2 linked regions of the Stegostoma tigrinum genome follow. The protein of the gene in region 1 interacts with the protein of each later gene in a pairwise test. Links are inferred from orthologs where the notes say so. Each region holds a gene or a part of one and is shown on either strand. Other genes may lie near its edges.

What was found. The genes of interacting proteins can lie anywhere in the genome.
Region 2: the proteins of flt1 (region 1) and shc2 interact in a two-hybrid assay, tested with the Homo sapiens proteins (2 studies listed by BioGRID). The link is inferred for Stegostoma tigrinum from reciprocal best matches to the Homo sapiens genes FLT1 and SHC2.

The regions. Positions count from the first base shown.
Region 1 is NC_081359.1:79,183,484-79,193,557, forward strand, and holds the start of flt1 (vascular endothelial growth factor receptor 1), read right to left. Parts: upstream 4,322-10,074; 5' UTR 3,967-4,321; coding exon 3,906-3,966; intron 3,356-3,905; exon of another isoform or gene 3,179-3,355; intron 1-3,178. UniProt on the Homo sapiens protein: Tyrosine-protein kinase that acts as a cell-surface receptor for VEGFA, VEGFB and PGF, and plays an essential role in the development of embryonic vasculature, the regulation of angiogenesis, cell survival, cell migration, macrophage function, chemotaxis, and cancer cell invasion.
Region 2 is NC_081383.1:1,005,969-1,016,223, forward strand, and holds the start of shc2 (SHC-transforming protein 2), read right to left. Parts: upstream 3,890-10,255; 5' UTR 2,789-3,889; coding exon 2,336-2,788; intron 1-2,335. UniProt on the Homo sapiens protein: Signaling adapter that couples activated growth factor receptors to signaling pathway in neurons. Involved in the signal transduction pathways of neurotrophin-activated Trk receptors in cortical neurons.

The DNA.
Region 1 (10,074 bases):
TGAAAAATGTAGTTTCCTCTTTTATAATCAGCATTTGCTATATTCTCCAGTTGTGGTATTGAATTATGTGATCACAATCGCATTGCGATAGAAATAAAAATGCCTTCTTTAATGTAAGGCAGTTATTGTCTTTGAACAATCGTTCTTTAATTCTGTGTTCCACTGCTTAGTATCCGACCTGGCTTCATTTCTCAGAGCGGTTATTACAACCACATTTGCACTTGTTGCCCAAGTTATTGGAAGAAAAACGGCCCTCACAGGCCCTCTTGAGGGAACCATTTCACACTGCTAGATCAATTCACAACAGAAGCAACACAAATCAGATTCCTGCAGACACGGATACATTCTAAACAGTGGTAAATTTTATAAACACGTCGAAATATACTGAGCTCAGTGTTTTATTTTCCAATTTCATCACTGCAGCATAAATATGTTCTGCGCTTGAAATTACATGTTCATACTGTCCCCTAGACCCCTGCGCTGAGATACTGAACCAACATACAGAAAATACGTTACAGTAACAGTCACCCCGTTTAAATCATCACAAAATGCCAACATTCTACTTATTCAACTTACCAGGTTGTTCATTCATTCAACGCAGTTCCACTTAGTTATAATACTCCATACAAAATAGTATAAAATGGATGCGATTAGGATTAACACATTCTACAGAAGAATGACAGGATTAGTAGGTGCTGAAAGAGGCTGTTCGGCCCATCGTGTCTGCACTGGCACTTCAAACAAGCAACATGCAGTTACCTCCAATCTGAGGCATAGACAGAAATTGCTGGAAAATCTCAACAGGTCTGGCAGCATCTGTGGCGAGAAATCTGAGTTAATGTTTCAGATTCAGTGAGCCTGTTCTAAAGAAGGGCCACTGAACCCGAAATGTTAATTCTGATTTTTCTCCACAAATGCTGTCGGACCTGCTGAGATTTTCCAAACAAAAACAGTTTTTGCTTCAGATTTCCAGCATGGCCGTTTTTGTTTTTTTGCCTACTCCCAATCTCTTGCTTCTTCTCCCTAACCTTGCAAATTATTTACATCCAAACAATCATCCGATACCATCTTGAATGCGTAAATTGAATTCAATTCCACACACATCCAGGCAGATTTTTCTCAGTTCACATTTGCCTCTTTTGCAAATCACTTTAAAAGGTAGAGTCGCAGAGATTTACAACACAGGAAAATGCCCTTTGACAGTCTGAACCTGTCAAAATCACCCTCCTAACTATTCTAATCTCATTTTCTAGCACTTGGCCCATAGCCTTTAATGCCTTGGCATCTAGATATTTCAATGTTATGAGGGTTTCTGCCTGCACCACCCTTACAAACAGTGAGTTCCAGATTCCCACCGCCCTCTGCGTGAAAATGTTCTTCCTCACATTAAATTCTCAAATCTACACCCTCTAGTTCTTGAAGCTTTTACTAGAAGGAACAGCTTCTCCTTATCTATACTATCCAACCGCTCTTAGAGCGATAAAGCCCGGAAACGGACCGGTCCATTCTGGCCGTAAACCCAAACTAAATTAGTCCCACTTGTCTACGCTCGGCCTATGTCCCTCCAAGCATTTCGTCTTCATGTATATGATTTCCAAATGTTCTATCAGATCTTCTCTCAGCCCTTCCCTTCAAAAAGTTCCAACTTGTTGAATTTTTCCTCGTAACTGAAATTAAACATTGGCGGGGATTTTTGGAATTACTGGTCCCATTGTATTAATACCATACCATGGCTTCCCATCTCCTCCTTCCTTGTCATGTCTGAACCAAATAAAATCATTCGGGAAGATGCGCTGAAGATAAAGACATTTGCTGATTTCATATTCTGAATTGATCGCTGTGTTGAAGTGCTATTTTTTGTTTGTGAGGAGTTTAAACTTTATACATTACTGATGAATCCTGTACATTATTATTCTACAAAGGTATTACAACTCAAACTGTCACTTAATAAAGCATGCAGCTTATTGGTGTCACAGAGCTGCTGAAATCATGATTGGTTGTTGCTTTTTAGACTTTAGTTTGATGCGAATATGACCTGGGTCAACTGATAATCTTGCATTCATTCCATTTCCAACCCACTTCGCGCCTTGGGTCATGCACTGAGCGTTCTCTCAATGTGGACTACCTGAGCTGCGCCGGAGCGTTCAACAGCTACAAAAGGAGCTGCGGTAGGTTGGGTTTGAAACGACTGTGAAGACAGAGTGAGGACGTGCTATTGAGCATCTCCAGCCGTAGTGCGGGGCAGAACCGCGCCGCTTCTTCAACCCACCCACAGTGCAACAAAAACTGCGGCCACCCCCAACCCCCATCAAATCCCTCTGGAATCTCCATGCGGAAGGTTTGTGGTTTAATGCGAACATGTCTAATTACATCCAATCTATAGTCTGTTCGGTCAGTAATGTTACTGACAAGTTAAAAAAAGTGAAAATACTCAACAAGTCTGGCATCATGTCTGTTCCATTTCTGTCTTCATTTCAGATTTCCAGCAACTGGAGTATTTTGATTTCGTTTCTACGTTACATTAGAAACGTCAACTGGTGAAGTCTATCTTAAATTTCTGATACAAATAGCGTACTTAACCGAAAATAATCCCACTATTAAGCAATTATAAGTGAGCAATTGCTCGTGTTAGATATTAGGAATTATTAGTTCATCTGCCACACTGTCGAATTACAAGGGTGTGAGCTCCGCTTTATCTGCAATCTCACTTTCAGAACGTCGGAGCTCCGTGTGCAAACCAATGTAGCTGTCCACCTTCCCCAAAAACCGGGCGACTGTGTTCCATTCGCGATGTCACAATTCACAGCGCAAGGGGTTGATTAAAACAGAGATAGTAGTAACTGCAGATGCTGGAGAATCTGAAGTAACAAGGTGTACAGTTGGATGAACACAGCAGGCCAAGCAGCATCAGAGGAGCCGGAAGGCTGACTTTTCGGGCGTAGACCCTTCTTCAGAAATGACCCTAACTCTAACCAGAAGCCTTCTGAAGAAGATTCTAGGCCCGAAACGTCAGCTTTCCTGCTCCTGTGATGCTGCTTGGTCCGCTGAGTTCATCCAGCTCGACACCTTGTTGTCTATGATTGATTAAAACAGTCAGGAGAGAAAAAAAACCTGGAAGTACTGCCTCTACTGGAATCTCAAATCAACGCACGACCTTTTAAAAACGTAGACAGCGAACCTGGAGGTGATGAGAGTCGAGAGAAGGTGCTATGGGTTCCCCACCAGGGAATTCGAGAACAGCAGACCTGAATCACTGCACTGTCTGACGTTATTTTCAAAATCACACCCACTGTCCTTTCGTTGCTCCGCAATAACCAGGAGTGGTTTGTTTTAGCTCAGGTACTGCACCAGTAACGTCGCGCAAGATGTGGGATTTGTCTCTGTTCGCGCACAACCGCTGAGAAAATTTAATTCAGAATTCAGAATGGATTACTGGGAGATGAAGGGCACCTACTGCACTCGTTTATTTCATCGTTATTATAACCGTTACCTTTTTTCGATACAATCCACTAACAGATTTTTCTTTAAATAAAGCTACTGTCTTTCCCCAGAGTAGCTCGTTCGTCATTCCAAAGCTGGTCGACCATCATGTCGCTAACTGGTCCCTTTTCCAGGAGGAGGATACTCACACCTCTAACACTGAGAGCCTTCACTTCCATCAAGTGATGGTTCGCGGGAAACCGCGGGGGCATCCCGCTAAGGATGAGGCAATCAGTTCTCTGTAACTGGTATGAATCAGAATGGATCTTTTCAATAAAGAACAGTTGGTTAAACATTTGGTAAAAGCGCCGGAAGACAAGACAGTCGATTTGCAATACACCAGAAGAAACTACATTTCTTCTTTCTCTTTACAATTGCCATGGTTTTTAGAATTTGTAGAATGTGTAAAATCGAATATTACTTACGCGCTGTAGCTATATTTTCAATCTGATTATAGAGCACAAATGCTATTAAAACGAAAGACATCTTGAAGTGAAGCAAGTGCCGCGTTCCTGTTCAACGCTGTTATGATGAACGCTTCAGTCAATGAAGACGGCTTTCCTCCAAAGGTTAAAAATGTATCGGTTCTCTATGTCAGCCCAATGTTGTCACACACACAGCTCCAGTGTGAAGCCCTCTCTATGTCCAGTACCAACACTGCCCGACTTCACTAAAGTTGTGCCCTTCAGGTCAGCTCTGGTAAACCAGCACAAATTTCACAAATCACCGATGGTATTAACAAATCTCAGGCCGTGAATAATGTATCCAGTACAATTCAGATAGACTACACTCCGGTCATTTCTACTTTGTATTCGGTGGCCCATGCTTTTATACCACTCCCGTGAACTCGCCTCGGAAATGTTACACCCTAGTGACGTCGACAGGAATCTTGGCAGACAAATTGCCTTCCAGAATCTGGACTGTGGTCCTGTCCACGGCCAGTTTGCTATTTCTCTCAGTATGAATTAATTTCAAATTAGTCAGCCAGCTTGGAAACGTTACAAACTGCGGAAATCGCTTAGCTGTTCTGAAGGTTGGTATTGCTAGGCAATTATATTCTCAATTCACAGAAAACAGCGGCCATTATTACAGGAATATTTTATAGCTTTCTCGTTGAATAAATCAAAATAGAACCGTTTCATAAGCGGCGGCGGGGGGGGGGAGATACACCAGAGGCATTATTCTGATTTACCACCCCTACCCACCAGTCCGGCTCCCCTTCCGCCCCAATTCCTAACCATCATCAACCCCCTCCCTCCCCCCCCACCGCGGCGTGTTGTAAAGCAGGACCACCAAAGTGGGTCTGACACAAGCAGTTAATGTGAATAAAAATGAGCTCCTGTATGTCACTTGAGGCTTCCCACGGCTGTCTCCCCCGTCAACTTCCCCCCCCCACCAAAACACACACACAGGCACACACGCCACGCACCCCCGTTTCCAAAACTGGCCAAAACATCAGACAGTTTGTTACCCACACTTAAAACATTGAGAGCTTCCCCAATTCCAGAAATAAGCGATTCCCACCAGACTGCCATTCACTGCAACTAGCATTGCCCACGACTCAAGATTATGCACCAAATCCCTGCATTTGGCATACATATATGCTTTTTTTTGTCCAATGCACCAACAGTTGGATGAGCATTTGACTAAACGCTGTGCGATGAGTCACTGTTTCTAACTTGATGTCGTGATAGATGTCACGGTGGGAGTAGAATGTAAATTCGATTTGAAGAGGTAATGGACACGTTTTGTTGTGTGTTTCCTCATGTGCTTGATTTTCCTGTCGGAACTTTGGCCATTCTCACGGTTGGCAGGAAGGAAACAACCTTATTTGCGTGTTGAGAAGCATTTAAACATTACACAAATGGGGATGGGAGGTCTTGAGGAAGTAGCTGCACATATCGGACATCTAACGCTCAAATAATCAAAAGCTGAATCCGACGTGACACATTTTTACAAAGCGTGTTTTCTGTTCAGAATAAGCCTTTAACCCAGTGGACTGGCCTTGTGCTAATGCAAACCAAAGTAGAAAAGACACTTTTAAGGATCTTGCCACGAAAAGCTGAGCCTGTTTTGCTTTCCCCAGAACACACTCTCAGTGCGTGACTGAAATGATGCCCGCCCTTGCCTTTCCCGCGCTGATGGGATATCGAGCTGGACATCACATGGAGCCTGTGATACTGCGCAAAAAAATACGCAACCAGGCACATTGAACGCTGGGGCCATCTGTCATTTGCTTTAAATTGGGTCTAGATTTTGCTGGGGTTCACCGTCAGAACTTTAAGAACATTAAATAGGTGGTCATAAAATCAAAAGAAGTGATGTGTGACTGCACAACATTTAGCCTCCAAGAAGGAAGCAGACTGGATGTCCACATGCAGGAAAACCTGGATCACATCCAGGCTTGGGCAAATATGTTGCAAATAATAGATAACACAGTGTGGAGCTGGAGGAGCACAGCAGGCCAGGCGACATCAGAGGAGCAGGAAAGTTGACGTTTCGGGCGTAGAGCTGCATTCTACTCCCACCGTGACATCTATCACGACATCAAGTTAGAAACAGTGACTCATCGCACAGTGTTTAGTCAAATGCTCATCCAACTGTTGGTGCATTGGACAAAAAAAAGCATATATGTATGCCAAATGCAGGGATTTGGTGCATAATCTTGAGTCGTGGGCAATGCTGGTTGCAGTGAATGGCAGTCTGGTGGGAATCGCTTATTTCTGAAATTGGGGAAGCTCTCAATGTTTTAAGTGTGGGTAACAAACTGTCTGATGTTTTGGCCAGTTTTGGAAACGGGGGTGCGTGGCGTGTGTGCCTGTGTGTGTGTTTTGGTGGGGGGGGGGAAGTTGACGGGGGAGACAGCCGTGGGAAGCCTCAAGTGACACACAGGAGCTCATTTTTATTCACATTAACTGCTTGTGTCAGACCCACTTTGGTGGTCCTGCTTTACAACACGCCGCGGTGGGGGGGGGGGGGGGGAAAGAGTAGGGAAAAAAGGATCTTTTTTCCAAACAGCACGCAATGCCAAGTCTGATACTATAGGAATCTATGCTTGGTTCCCAGCTATTAACACCATATATTAATGATTTAAATGAGGGAACTAAATGTAAAATCTCCAAGTTTGTAGACTACACATAGCTGGGTGGGAGGGTGGGCTGTGAGAAGGACACCAAGATGTTTCAGTGTGATTTGGACAAGTTGAGTGAGTGGATAAATATGTGGCAAGTGAAGTATAATATAGACAAGTGTGAGGTTGTACACCATGGTAGTAAAACCAGGGAAGCAGACTGATATCTGAATGGCAATGCATTGGCAAAAGGGGATATCAATGAAGACTTGGACGTCCTTGTACACCAGTCACTGAAAGTAAGCATGCACGTGTGGTAGGCAGCATCGATGGTATGTTGGTCTTCATTGCAAGAGGATTCAAATACAAGAGCATGGATATCTTGTTGCAATTGTACAGGGCCTTAGTAAGACCACATCTGGTGCACTGTGTGTAACTTTGGTCTCCTTATCTGAAGAAGGATGTTCTGGCTATGGAGGAAGTTCAACAAAGGCTTACCTGACGGATTGCCAGGATTGAAGACCTCATGCATGAACAAAGACAATATTCACAGAAGTTTAGAAAAATGGTGGGGGGAGCTGGATTTCATAGAAACCCTATAAAATTCAAACACAACTAGAGATGATAAACAGTAGAGAGGATGTTCCTGATGACCAGGAATTCCAGATGCTGGGCTTATAGTCTAAAAATATGAACTACTCATTTAGGACTGAGATAACAAGAAATTTCTTCACCCAGGGAGTGGTGAGCCAGTGGATTTCTCTGGCATAGGAAGTGGTTGAAACAAAAAAAGTGTTTTCAAGGAGTTAGACATGGCACTTAGGGCTAAAGGAATCAAAGGGAATGTGGGAAAGTGGAAACAGCATACTGGGATGGATGAACAGCAATGATTATATTGAATGGTAGAATAGGTTTGAAGGACTGAATGCACAACATCTGCTACTATTTTCTTTGTTTCTATGTTTTCCCAATGCCTTTCTACCATCAAAAAGGCAAATGTAAGGATGTGGTGGAACACTGTCCACTTGCTAGACTCTAGAACACTCAAGAAGCTTGAAAGCATCCAGCACACAGCAGCCCGCTTGATTGGTATTCCATCCATCGCTTTTAACATTCACTCGCTCACTACTGATGCCTAATTGTGGTAGTGTGTACCAACTCCATGATACACTTCTGTAACTCACCAAGCTTCATTTGACAGCACATTTTAACCACCAACCTCTAGCAATTGCAAGGACAAGGGCAGAAGATGCATGGGAAAACCACCACCTGCATGTTCCCATCCAAGTCACACCACATCCTGAGATGGAAATGTACCACCATCTCTCCTCTTTTACTGGGCTAACTTTAGATGTGCCTACAGATCGTGGACTGCAGCAATTCAAGAAAGTGGTTCACCAGCGCCTTCTTCAAAGCCATTTGGGATGGGCAATAAATGAATGCTGACCTGGGTGGTGATGTCCACATTCCCTGAAAGAATGAAAAATAAGGAGCAGGAGAAGCCCAAGTAGTCCCCTGTAGCTGCTCTGCCACTCAATAAGTTCGCGGCTGATCTTGCAGCTTCAACTTCCCCTCATACTCCTTGATTTCCTGTGAGGCAAAAGAAATCTATCTGAATCTTAAATATATTCAATGATGGTACATTTACAACGCTCTGGGAGAGAGGATTCCAAAGATTCATAACCATTTGAATAAAGACATTTGTCCTTATCTAAATCCTAAACAGTCCACTCTTTCCTCTGAAATTGTGTCCTCTTGCTCTGGACTCCCCAACCAGGAGAAACAACCATTCAATCTCTACATTGTTAAGCATTATTTAGACGACACCTTCCAGACCCAAGATCAGTTCTGTCTAGAAGTAAAAGGACAGCAGATACATAGGAACACCATTACTTACAAGTTCCCCTCCAAGCCACTCACCATTCTGACTCGGAAATATGTGGTCTCACTAAAGCCTGGCACAATTAAGCAAGACATTTTAATATGTAACACCTATCTCTATGAGCTCTTGTACATTATCTTTTTATGGGACACCTCATTGAATGCCATATGGAAATTCAAATATACTACATGAACTGGTCCCCATATACTTACATTCTCAAAAAGTAATAAGTCAGTAAAACATTATTTTTCTTTTATAAAACCAGTTGGCTTATTCTCAAACATAAACAGAAGTTGCTGGGAAAACTCAGTAGGTATGGCAGCATCTGTGGAGAGAGCACAGTTAGCATTTCTTCTGTTTGTGTTTCTGATTTCCAACATTTGCAGTCCTTAAAAAAAATCCAAAAGAACGCAGATGCTGTAAGTTAGAAACGATAACAGAATTTGCTGGAGAAGCTCAGCAGGTCCGGCAGCATCTGTGAACAGAAATCAGAGTTAATGTTTCTGCTCTGGTGACCCTTCCTCAGAACTGCTTCTGATACATAGTGCTCTTTTTCTTAAACTTATTTAAATCAAACAATGCTTTTTAAAGATGCATTGTTAAGACTTTCTTAATTATACCACTAGGACTACTCCAGAGACTTGGGAATTTTGGAAAATCATTGCCAGAGCATCCATTATCTCTCTAGCTATTTGTTTTCAAAATGTAGGATGTGAGCAATCAGTCACAGGCATTTTGATTTTAGTCTGATGAGTTTCTTCAGTAATTTTTCTCTTCTGATAATGATTACCTTACTCTTATTCAGCCCCTAGATTACCCCCTTTCTCTGGTATGCAACTTATGAAGACAGACAGAAAATATTTATTCCATGTCTTTGTCGTTTTTTCAAACCCCATGATAATCTATCTTGATTCTGCTTCTAAGCGACAAATGCTTACTTTAGGCTACTGCCTTCATTTTTCTTCCCCTTTAAAAGCTCTTTCACTCGACTTTGATATTCCTAACTAGTTTATATTTTCTTCAATATTCTCATATTCTAGTTCTTCCTTTTCTATTAATTTTTTTGGGGGTTTTTTTCTGCTTTTATAACATTCCCAACCCCAAGACTTATTACCATCCTTTTCAACATCATATGCCTTTTTAACTATCTAATATTATCCTTAACCTTATTGGGAAATCATAGATGGATCTTTCTCATTGAGTTTTGTTTTCAATGGAATAGATTTTCGTTTAACATTTTGAAGTTGTTTTTAAATGTTTTGTCACTGATTATTTACAACCATATCTTTTAGTCTACTTACCCAATTTTTCGTTGAAGTTATTCCATTTTTGTTAACAGTCAAAGTTTGATTTGGATCCTAGTAGCCTATTAATTAAAGCAAATACATATCATAAATTTACAGAAAATTTACAAATGTTGTGCAGAGAATAGTCAAAGCCGGGAATTCTCTCCACCAAAAGCCTAAGCAAATCAAAATTTTAGATCCAAGACTTCTACAATTAAGTAAACGTATTAAAGTCAATGAAACTTAGAAGACTTTTTTAACTGCACAGGGTTTTTGAGGTTGGATTGTTCAGTGTATTCAAGGCTGATATAGACAGATTTTTAATCAGTAAAGGAATCAAGAGTAATAGGGAAACA
Region 2 (10,255 bases), on another chromosome or scaffold:
ATCTAACTCCTTGAAAATGTTAAACATTTTTGCCTCAAGCACTTTCAGTAGCAGTGAATTCCACAGGCTTCCCACTCTCTGGGTGAAGACATTTCTCCTCATCTGAATACGAACTGGCCCACCTGGTGGCCTCCGTTTGTTACCACTGGTTCTGGACTCCCCAGCCATGGGGAGTATCCTTCACACTTTTACCCTGTTATTTCAGAGTTTAGGTTTGAGTCAACCACATTGCTGTGGGTCTGAAGTCACATGGTGGTCAGACCAGGACAGCACATCTCTCTCTCTAAAACGACTTTAGTTAAAAACCCCTCTCTATCACAACAACTAGTGACAGGATCATGGTCACCAATTGACTTCTTAATTCCAAACTTTTTTTTAAATTCAAGTTCTACAGTTAGTCACAGACTAATTTAAAATCAGACCCCAAGAACATTATTTGGATCTCTGGATACTGATCCACCATCAATATCACTATCATCACTTTGCTAGCACATTGGATGTTGGCTGTGGTTGTTGGAGGTCAATCATCTCAGCTTCAAGACATCTCTGTCCTTCACCCAACCATCTTCAGCTGCTTCATCAATGACCTTCCCTCCATCATAGGGTCAGAAGTCGGATGTTTGCTGATGATTGCACAGTGTTCAGCACCATTCGTGACTCCTCAGATGCTGAAGCAGTCCATATCCAAATGCAACGACATCTGGATAATATCCAGGAGAGTCCGAAGAAGGATCACTAGACCTGAACTGTTAACTCTCCTTTCTCTCCACAAATGCGGAGTCTTTCCAGCAATTTGTGTTTACGGACATGATTCAGGCTTGGGTGTAGCAAGCAGCATTCATGCCATAAATGCCAGGCAAAGACCATCTACAAAAAGAAAGAATCAAAACCATTGTCTCTTGATATTACCATTGCTAACTCTTCCTCTACGAAGATTCTAGGAGACACAATTGACATTCAACTGGCCTAACCATATAAATGCAGTGGCTACAAAAGCAGGTCAAAGGTTACAGATCTTGCAGCAAGTTACACATTTCCTAACTCTTCAAAGCCTGTCCACTGGCTACAAGGCACTAGTTAGGAGTGTGATGTTATACTGTCCACTTAACTAGATGGGTGCAGTTCCAATAACACTCGAGAAGCTTGGTATCCATCCAGGACAAAGCAGCCCCTACCTGATTGGCACCATATCCTCAAACACTCACTCTCTCCACCACCAACTCATAGCAGCAGTGTGTACTATCTGCAAGATGCACTGCAGAGATTCACCAAAGATCCTCAGGCAGCACCTTCCAAACCCACAACCACTTCCATCCAGGAGGACAGAAGGGCAGAAGATACATGGGACACCAACCCCTGCAAGTTCCCCTCCAAGTCACTCACCATCCTGATTTGGAACTAAATCACCATTCCTTCACCGTCATTGGGACAAAATCCCAAAGGGCATTGTGGGCATACCCACAAATCAAGCAGTTCAGGAAGGCAGCTCACCAGCACCTTCTCAAGGGCAATCCATGTTAAAGATGGGCACTTGGGGATGGGCACTCCCTAGTGGTATTATCACTAGAACAGCACCAGGCAGACCTGATGATGAGGTGCCAACCTGGTGAAGCCAAACAGGACCACTCGCACGCCAAACATCGTAAACAGCAAGTGATAAACAGAGCTAAACAACCTCACAACCAACAGATCTGCCTCTGCTAATCCCCATTGTTCCAGACTCCCCCATGTGAGGAAACATCCCGCCGACCTCTCACAAGCATCAACTCCTTCCTAGGAAGGGCTAAACTGCCCCTTTCTGTGTTAACACATAGAAAATTATCAAATATTTTCCTCAAGTCCCAACAAACGGCAACATTCACCTAAACTGTCCACCTGCTGCTTTTCCTCCAAAAATTCAATCAGAGAAGACCCAACCTTTGGAAAAGGTCATGTTTCTCGCTTTCTCAGACCCGACAGAAGTTTCTGTTCGTGATCAGCCTCTCTCCGCTGCATTATAGATTCTAATTACATTCTCATAAAGTAATTAAATGATAGATTCCAACGGCAGGACCACGTCAGATGCCAGGGTCCAGTGAGTCAATTAGTTCCTGGTTTCTCCTTGCCAATGATATGACCCTGCCTCAGCGACTGCTTTGGGAAGCGCTCTCTGCCCTGCCCTCTCCTGAGGACAGAGTTGGGGCTCGCTCTGGAGGCTCTAGGCTGCAGCTTGTTGTGGGCAATGGGGACGGACCACCCCCTCCTCCCCCCAAAACTACCTGCACGGGCACTGAGTGTGGTCTGCCCCCGGGGGAGTAGGGACACACACCAACACACTTCTGCCCCTGTTACTCACACGGACGATGTAGGAGACCCCGGGACCCAGGATCTTGGTATCTGGGTGTAACCAGCCTCCGGACGGTTTGTTGATGAAACTGCCTTTGCGATTCCACTCCCCCCCGGCCAAGCGCACTCCTTCCACCCGGACCCTCCGGCCACCCCCGGGCAGCCGTGCCGTGGCCTGGACAGAGCAGGGAGGGGGGCACAGCGAGTCACAGGATCCCAGGACAGTGGCCAGGCCGGGCCCCGGGGGGGGAGGCAGCCCTTTGGCCGGGTTCCTGCCTCCCGGCGACGCCGAGAATTTCCAGTGCGGGATTCTGGGGATGAGGGTGCAGAAGGTGGTGGAATCCTCCGGCTCTTCGGCCACGGGAGCTGCACCGAGCTGGCCGCTCATGGTCAGGCTGTGAAACAAGCCGCTTGCTGAGCTGGTCACCGACTCACTTCGAAACCGGCCATACTTCGGCTTCATCAGCGGAGCTGCCCCTCAGTGAAACCTCTCCACACTGAGACTGATCCTGTCCACACTCTCCTGCCCAGCCGCTGATGTCATTTGGGGAATTCATCATCCATTACCCAACAGCCAAACAGAGAGGGGGGGGTGGTCTGGGCACTCTCTCTCCCACTCACACAAACACACTCTCTCTCTCTCTCTCCCACTCTCACAAACACACTCCCTCTCTCTCACACAAACTCCCTCTCTCTCTCACACACACAGGGGCAGGAGACAGTCTGAGATCCCTCTCACAAACACACTCCCTCTCTCACACACGGGGCAGGAGAGAGTCTGAGATCGCTCTCTCTCACAAACACACTCCCTCTCTCTCACACACTCTCCCACTCTCACCAACACACTCCCTGTCTCTCACACACACACACACTCTCTCCCACTCTCACAAACACACTCCCTCCCTCTCACACACCCTCTCTCACACACACTCTCTCCCACTCTCACAAACACACTCCCTCCCTCTCACACACACTCTCTCTCCCTTCGCTCATAAACACACTCCCCCTCTCTCTCTATCACACACACACACGCACACGCACACACTCCCTCTCCCACACACCAACACACACACAGAGGCAGGAGAGAGTCTGAGATCGCTCTCCCTCACAAACACACTCGCTCTCTCACACAAAGGGGCAGGAGAGAGTCTGAGATCGCTCTCTCTCACACACACAGGGGCAGGAGAGAGCCTGAGATTCCTCTCTGTCACATACATTCCCTCTCCCTCAGATAAACACATTCCCTCTCCTTCACACACAGGGGCAGGAGAGAGTCTGAGATCTCTCTCTCTCTCTCTCTCTCTCTGCCTCTCTCTCACACACATACACCCTCTCTCTCTCACACGCACACACACACAGACACACACTCCCTGTCTCACATACATACACTCCCTATCTCTCTCTGTCTTTCTCTCTCTCATACACACACACTCTCTCTCTCCACGCACACACCCTCTCTCTTCCTCTCTCTCACACACACACACGGATACACACTCCTTATCTCTGTCTGTCTGTCTCTCTCTCTCTCTCTGTCTCTCTCTCTCCCACACACACACACACACACACACACACACACACACACACACACACACACACCCTATCTCTCTCTGAGATAATGGGAACTGCAGATGCTGGAGAATCCAAGATAATAAAATGTGAGGCTGGATGAACACAGCAGGCCAAGCAGCATCTCAGGAGCACAAAAGCTGACGTTTCAGGCCTAGACCCTTCATCTGATGAAAGGTCTAGGCCCGAAACGTCAGCTTTTGTGCTCCTGAGATGCTGCTTGGCCTGCTGTGTTCATCCAGCCTCACATTTTATTACCCTATCTCTCTTTGTCTCTCTCTCTCTCTCACACACACACACACACACACACACACACACACACACACACACTCCCTATCTCTCTCTGTCTCTCTCTCTCTCTCCCTCTCTCTCTCTCTCACTCACTCACACACACACACTCCCTATCTCTCTCTCTCTCACACACATACACACACACACGGGCAGGAATGCAGCAAGGAGGTGGTTGCGTTTGGTGTGGGCTGAACATTTTCCTGAATTTTTCTTCCTGTTGCATTTATCAACATCTCTGCCTCTGACATTTTTAGCTGATTGTATTTGCTCACTCTGATTGATTACAGAATCCTGTCCCAGTAAAATTGAGAATACAGGAACAGGCCAAGATTATTCCTCCCTTCTATCCTGTCCCACTGATTAGATTTTGCTTGGTCTCGGTTTAACTCCCAGTTTTTTGCATTGGTCTCATCACCCTGAGCTGTGGGGAGGGCAGTCTTGAACTTCAAGAGTAAAATAAAACAAAGAAGTGCAGGTGCTGGAGATCTGAAACCAAAACAGAAATCATTGAGAAAATTAGCAAGTCGGGCAGCTGCTGCGGAGAGAAAACAGTTAACATCATCATTTAAACTTCAAGAGGACATGGACAGTTTGGAGGAAAGGGCTAACAAATGGCGAATGAAATTTTAATGCAAACAAGCATGAAGTGATTTATTTTGGTACACAGAATATGGAGAGAAAATACAAAATAAAGGGCACAATTTTACAGGGATGAAGGTACTTGGATGTATACATGCATAGATCATTGGCTGTGTCAGGACAGGTTGAGAGCACAGTAAACACAGGACTGTGATCTGGTCTTTGTTGTTAGGGGCATGGAGTATAAGAGGAAGGAAGTGGTGTTAAATCGGTGATGAATACTGATTCAACCTCAGCTACGCCATTGTATTCAGTTCTGGGCATCACACTAAAGGAAGGACATCACCACATTGGAGAAGGCACAAAGAAGAACTTCAGTGATCTGGAGTAATTGGAAAAGCTGGGATCGTTTACATTGGAGAAGATTAAGAGGCAGTGAAAGTCCCGAGGGATCTGGGCAGGGTAAATATAGAGAAACTGTTCCTATTAGTCAAAGGATCAAGATCAAGAGAGCAGAGATTTAAATGATTCACAAAAGAAGGAAATGTGACATTTTTTATTCACTCATGAAATGTGGGTATTGCTGGTTGGGCCCAGCATTTCTTGTCCATCCCATGTTGCCCCTTGAGAAGGTGGTGGTGAGCTGCCTTATTGACCTGCTGCAGTCCATGTGCTGTAAGTTGACCCACAATACACTTAGGGAGGGAATTCCAGGATTCTGACTCAGCAGCACTGAAGGAATGATGATATAAAGTCAGGATGGTGAGTGGCTTGGAGGGGAACTTGGAGGTGGTGGTGTTCCCATGTATCTGCTGTCCTTGTCTTTCTAGATGGAAGTGGTCATGAGTTTGGAAGGTGCTGTCTGAGGATCTTTGGTGAATTTCTGCAGTGCATCATGTAGATAGTACACACTGCTGCAACTGAGCACCTGTGACAGCGAGAGTGGATTTTTGTGGATGTGGTGCCAATCAGGTGGGCTTTGTCCTGGATTGTGTCAAGATTTTTAAGTGTTGTTAAAACTGCACCCATCCAGGCAAGTGAGGAGTATTCCATCACATTCCTGACTTGTGCCTTGCAAATGATGACTTTGGGGAGTCAGGAGGTGAGTTACTTACCATTGTATTCCTAGTCTCTGGCTTGCCATTGTAGCCGCTGGATTTATATGGCTAGTCCGGTTCAGCTTTTGGTCAAAGCGCACTCCCGAGTACCTTGATGGTGGGGAATTCAATGATGGTAATGCCATTGAGTGCTGGGTGGCAATGGTTAGATTTGCTGTTGTTGGAGACTGCCTTGTATTTGGCCCAAACGTTATCTACCGTATACCAGATAAGTGCCAGACTCAGTTGAATGTGGACCTGATATCAAGGGTAGTCACTCTCACCACACACTTGGAATTCAGGTCTTTGTCCCTATTTGGATGAAAGCTGTACTGAGAGAGGGAACTGTGTGAGCGGCACAACCCAAACTGGCCATCAGTGAGTAGGCTCTTGCTAAGCATTATCAACTTTCAAAAGGACAAAAGAGAAGTCTGGATCAGGAACAGGCCTTTCGGCCCTCCAGGCCTGTGCTGATCATCATGCCCTGACTAAACTAAAGAACAAACATTCTGCCTTTATTTGGTCCATATCTCTCTATTCCCTCCCTATTCATGTAGCCATCCAGATGCCTCTTAAATGTTACCAATGTGCCTGATTCGACCTCCTCCTCTGGCAGTGCATTCCAGGCTCCTACCACTCTCTGCATGAAAAACTTCCCTCGCACATATCCCTTAAATTTTCCCCCTCTCACTTTGAACTTGCACCCCCTTGTAATTGAAACTTCAACCCCAGGAAAAGGTCTCTGACTACCCAAGCTATCTGTGCCTCTTATTATTTTGTACACCTCCATCAGGTCTCCTCTCAGCCGCTGTCTTTGAAGTGAAAACAATCCTCATCTTTTTAACCTTTCCTCATAGCCAATACCCTTGAGACCAGCCATAGTTCATCTGTCTTACCTGTTATACTTTTTGCATTGAAGTAAATACACTCCAGACCTCCAGTCCCTCCGAACCCTGTGACATCCCTCTGCTCGCTCTTACTCTGTGCGATGCATATCTCAGTCTCTCTTTTGTCCCGACTGCCTGCTCTTACTGGTCTGTTGTTCTGATCCCCTGCCCCAGCCCCTGCCACACTAGGTTAAACCACCCCCACCCGCCCCGCAGATCTGTAGCAAACCTCCCACCCAGGATATTGGTGCCCCACCAGTTAAGGTGCAACCTGTCATTTTTATCATTTTGCTGCTGCTCAATAGCAGAGGAGTAACTTTCCGCGTTGGAGTTGTCCTGGTTTCTGTCGTCATCAGAAAACACATTTCTGTACAGCGAGTGGCTTGGGTGCTTAAGTATGTGATGGAGGTAGCTTCAATTGAGGTATTCCCAAGTGAATTAGAAAGTTATTTGAAAAGGGCTACAGGGAGATGATACTAAATAGCACTGCTCCTTGTGAGGGTTTGCACAAATTTGATGGCCAAATGGTCTTGTTGTGTACTGTAACCACTTCGTGATTCACTCCTGACAAAATCAACAAACCTCAGTATCGGAGAGGGTTCCAGATTTCCACTCCTGTCTGTATGAGGAAGTGCCTCCTGACATCACCCCTGAACAGTCTGGCTCAAATTAAAAGGTGATTTCCTTCTGCTCTGGCCATTTCCCAACTACATCCCCACCCATCTCTATATAATGACCCAGTCATTATGCTCTTCAATCCTGGGTAGGTCTCCCCTTGACACAGTGCCAGTTATCAAACTCTGCTCCTTGGACCACAGCTCCCTTCTGTTATTCATTTCCCATCTGCTCTATTGCAGACAGCTGCATCTGTCAGGCTCTCATTTCTGTGCTCGGAAATTGCCCAGTCCTGAATGGGGACCTTTTGCCATTCTGACGCTGAAATACATTTAGCCAGAATGCTCACAGCCTTTTTGCTGCTTCAGCTGCCATTTACTTGCAACAGCAGGAGGCGGTGATTTACAGAATGGATGCAAACCTTATGGTTGGAATATTTTTAAGGAAGGTGAGGATTTAAGTATGAGAGTTTGCATCTTCCATCTCCCCACCATCAATGACCCTGCAACAGCTGTGTATGAAGCTGCATGAAAGAGCAGATCTGTAACTAGCACACAGCTGCTTCCATGTATCTGTCAACAATGACCAGCTTCCCATCTATTCAACTCAGTTTCAGTGGGAAACACTGTACATTGAGGGTTAAAACCATGGCTCAGGAGGACCACTCACTCTGCTTGGTCAGAATATAGTAGGTTCAAGGAATATGAATACATAATTCAGCTTGACAAGCCCCCCCAAGATGAAAACAGAAAGTGCCGAAGTAATTCAACAAGTTGGCAGCATCTGAGAAAAGAAAAACAGAGTTAGCGTTTTGAGTCCAACGTGACTCTTCACAAAGGAAAGGAATTGGAAAATGCTATTTTGTGTTATTGGCAGAGCAGGAAAAGGAGCAATTGGAACAGATTATGAGGTGCCCAAAGCAAAAGACTAAAGGAAAACTAATGGGCTAAAGGAGTGATTGAGGTGTAAGAAACAAGGAGGACAGAAGTCATGCTCTGAAGTTGTGAAACTCAGTATTGGGTCCTTGAGGCTGCCTCAGTGAAAAATGAGATGTTCCTTAAGCTTGTGTTGAGCTTCACTGAGTTTTTGACAGGCACAGACCAGATATGCTAGTATGAGAGCAAGGTGATTTATTGAAATAGCAGCAGGCAACTTGGTTCTCAGGGTCATCCATACAGACAGAGTGGAGGTGCTCTCCAAAACAGTTACACAATCCATGATAACAAAGTGTGAAGCTGGATGAACACAGCAGGCCAAGCAGCATCTTAGGAGCACAAAAGCTGACATTTCAGGTCTCACTCAATCCATGTTTGGTCTCACTAATGTAAAGCAAACTGCATTGTGAGCAGCGAATGCAGTAGACTACATTGAAATAAACTCAAATAAAATGCTGCTTCACCGGGAAGCTGTGTTTGGGGCCATGGAAAGTGAGGAGTGAGGAGGTGAACGCACAGGAGTTACACTTTCTGCAACTGTGTGGGAAGATGCCATGGGGAAATGAGGAAATCTGGGGTTCAATGGAGCAATGGCAGGATGTCAGAAAAGGAACAGTCCCTGTAGAATGCTGACAATGGAGGGGAGGAGAAGATGTATTTGATATCTTACTGTGGCTGTCTGAAATGGAATTCATTCCTGGTGGGGTGGAAAGTGAGGCTAAAAGGAACTTTACCATTATTCCAGAAAGGACGCAAGTAGTGAACAGAAGTGTGGATCAGAAAATGGCTCAGGGAACCGTCAACTACAGTGAGGGTGGATCCTTGCTTGAAGATAAAGGAACCATGTTGAAGGTAGCCCGGTGAAAGGTGGCATCATCAGAACAGATGCAGAAATTTCTGGAGAACACAGCAATCTGACAACATCTCTGGAGAGAAAGCAGAGTTAATATTTCAAATCTGGTGACTCTTCATCAGAACAATTCTGAGGAAGGGACACAAGACCCAAAATGTTGATAGTGCTTTCTGTCCACAGATGCTGCCAGACCTGCTGAGTTTCTCCAGCAATTTCTGTCTTTGTTTCAGATTTCCAGCATCATCAGTTCTTTGTTTTATGAGAACAATGCAATTGAAACAGAAAAACTAGGAGAATGGAATGGATCCTTGCCGGAAGCAGGGTGTGAGGAGGGCTAGTTGAGGTAACCACGTGTCTCAATGGTTTTGTAGTGGATATTGTTCCCAGAAATGGGCAGAGTGAAGTCAACAAAGGGAAAAGTCAGAGATAGACCAGATGTGAAGGGAGAGAAGGATGGAAATTAGAAACAAAGCTGATGGTATTTTCCAAATGCAGACCACAGCAGGAAGAAGCACTGATTACATGGTCAACTATTGGAGAAAGAGTTGTTGGTTAAGGCCCAAGTACATCTGGAACAAGGAATGTTCCACAGACCCCACAAAGAAAGAGACAGGGCTGGGACCCATGTGGGTACCTACGGCCACACCTTGGACTTGTAGAAAGTGAGATGAGTCAAAGGAGAAGTTGATCAAAGAGAGAATAAATGATTAATAAGACACTTCTAGTGAACAAGTGAGAGACTGCTCCACCATCAGAGGGTCACTGCAGAGAGAGCACTGCACTGGCTAAGGGCTACATTAACCTAAGGCCCTGTCTGCCCAGTCGGGATGATGTTATTGCAGATTGTGGAAACTCACTGCGTACATTGTGGTTGCTGTTTTTATTTCTTTACAACAGGCACTACTTTATTACGGTTGTAGCCCTTTCTGTAGATTATTCTAGCAAAACTGACCTTCCATGACAGGCCAGACGCTGAGATACAGAGTCAGCAAAAGAAAAACAGCCTGTCAGTGAGTGCAAACGGCTTTTTCAGCAATTAGCCCATAATAACCCCATTAAATTGACACTGAAAACCATCACTACTTCCTTATCGGAGAAGGATTTGCT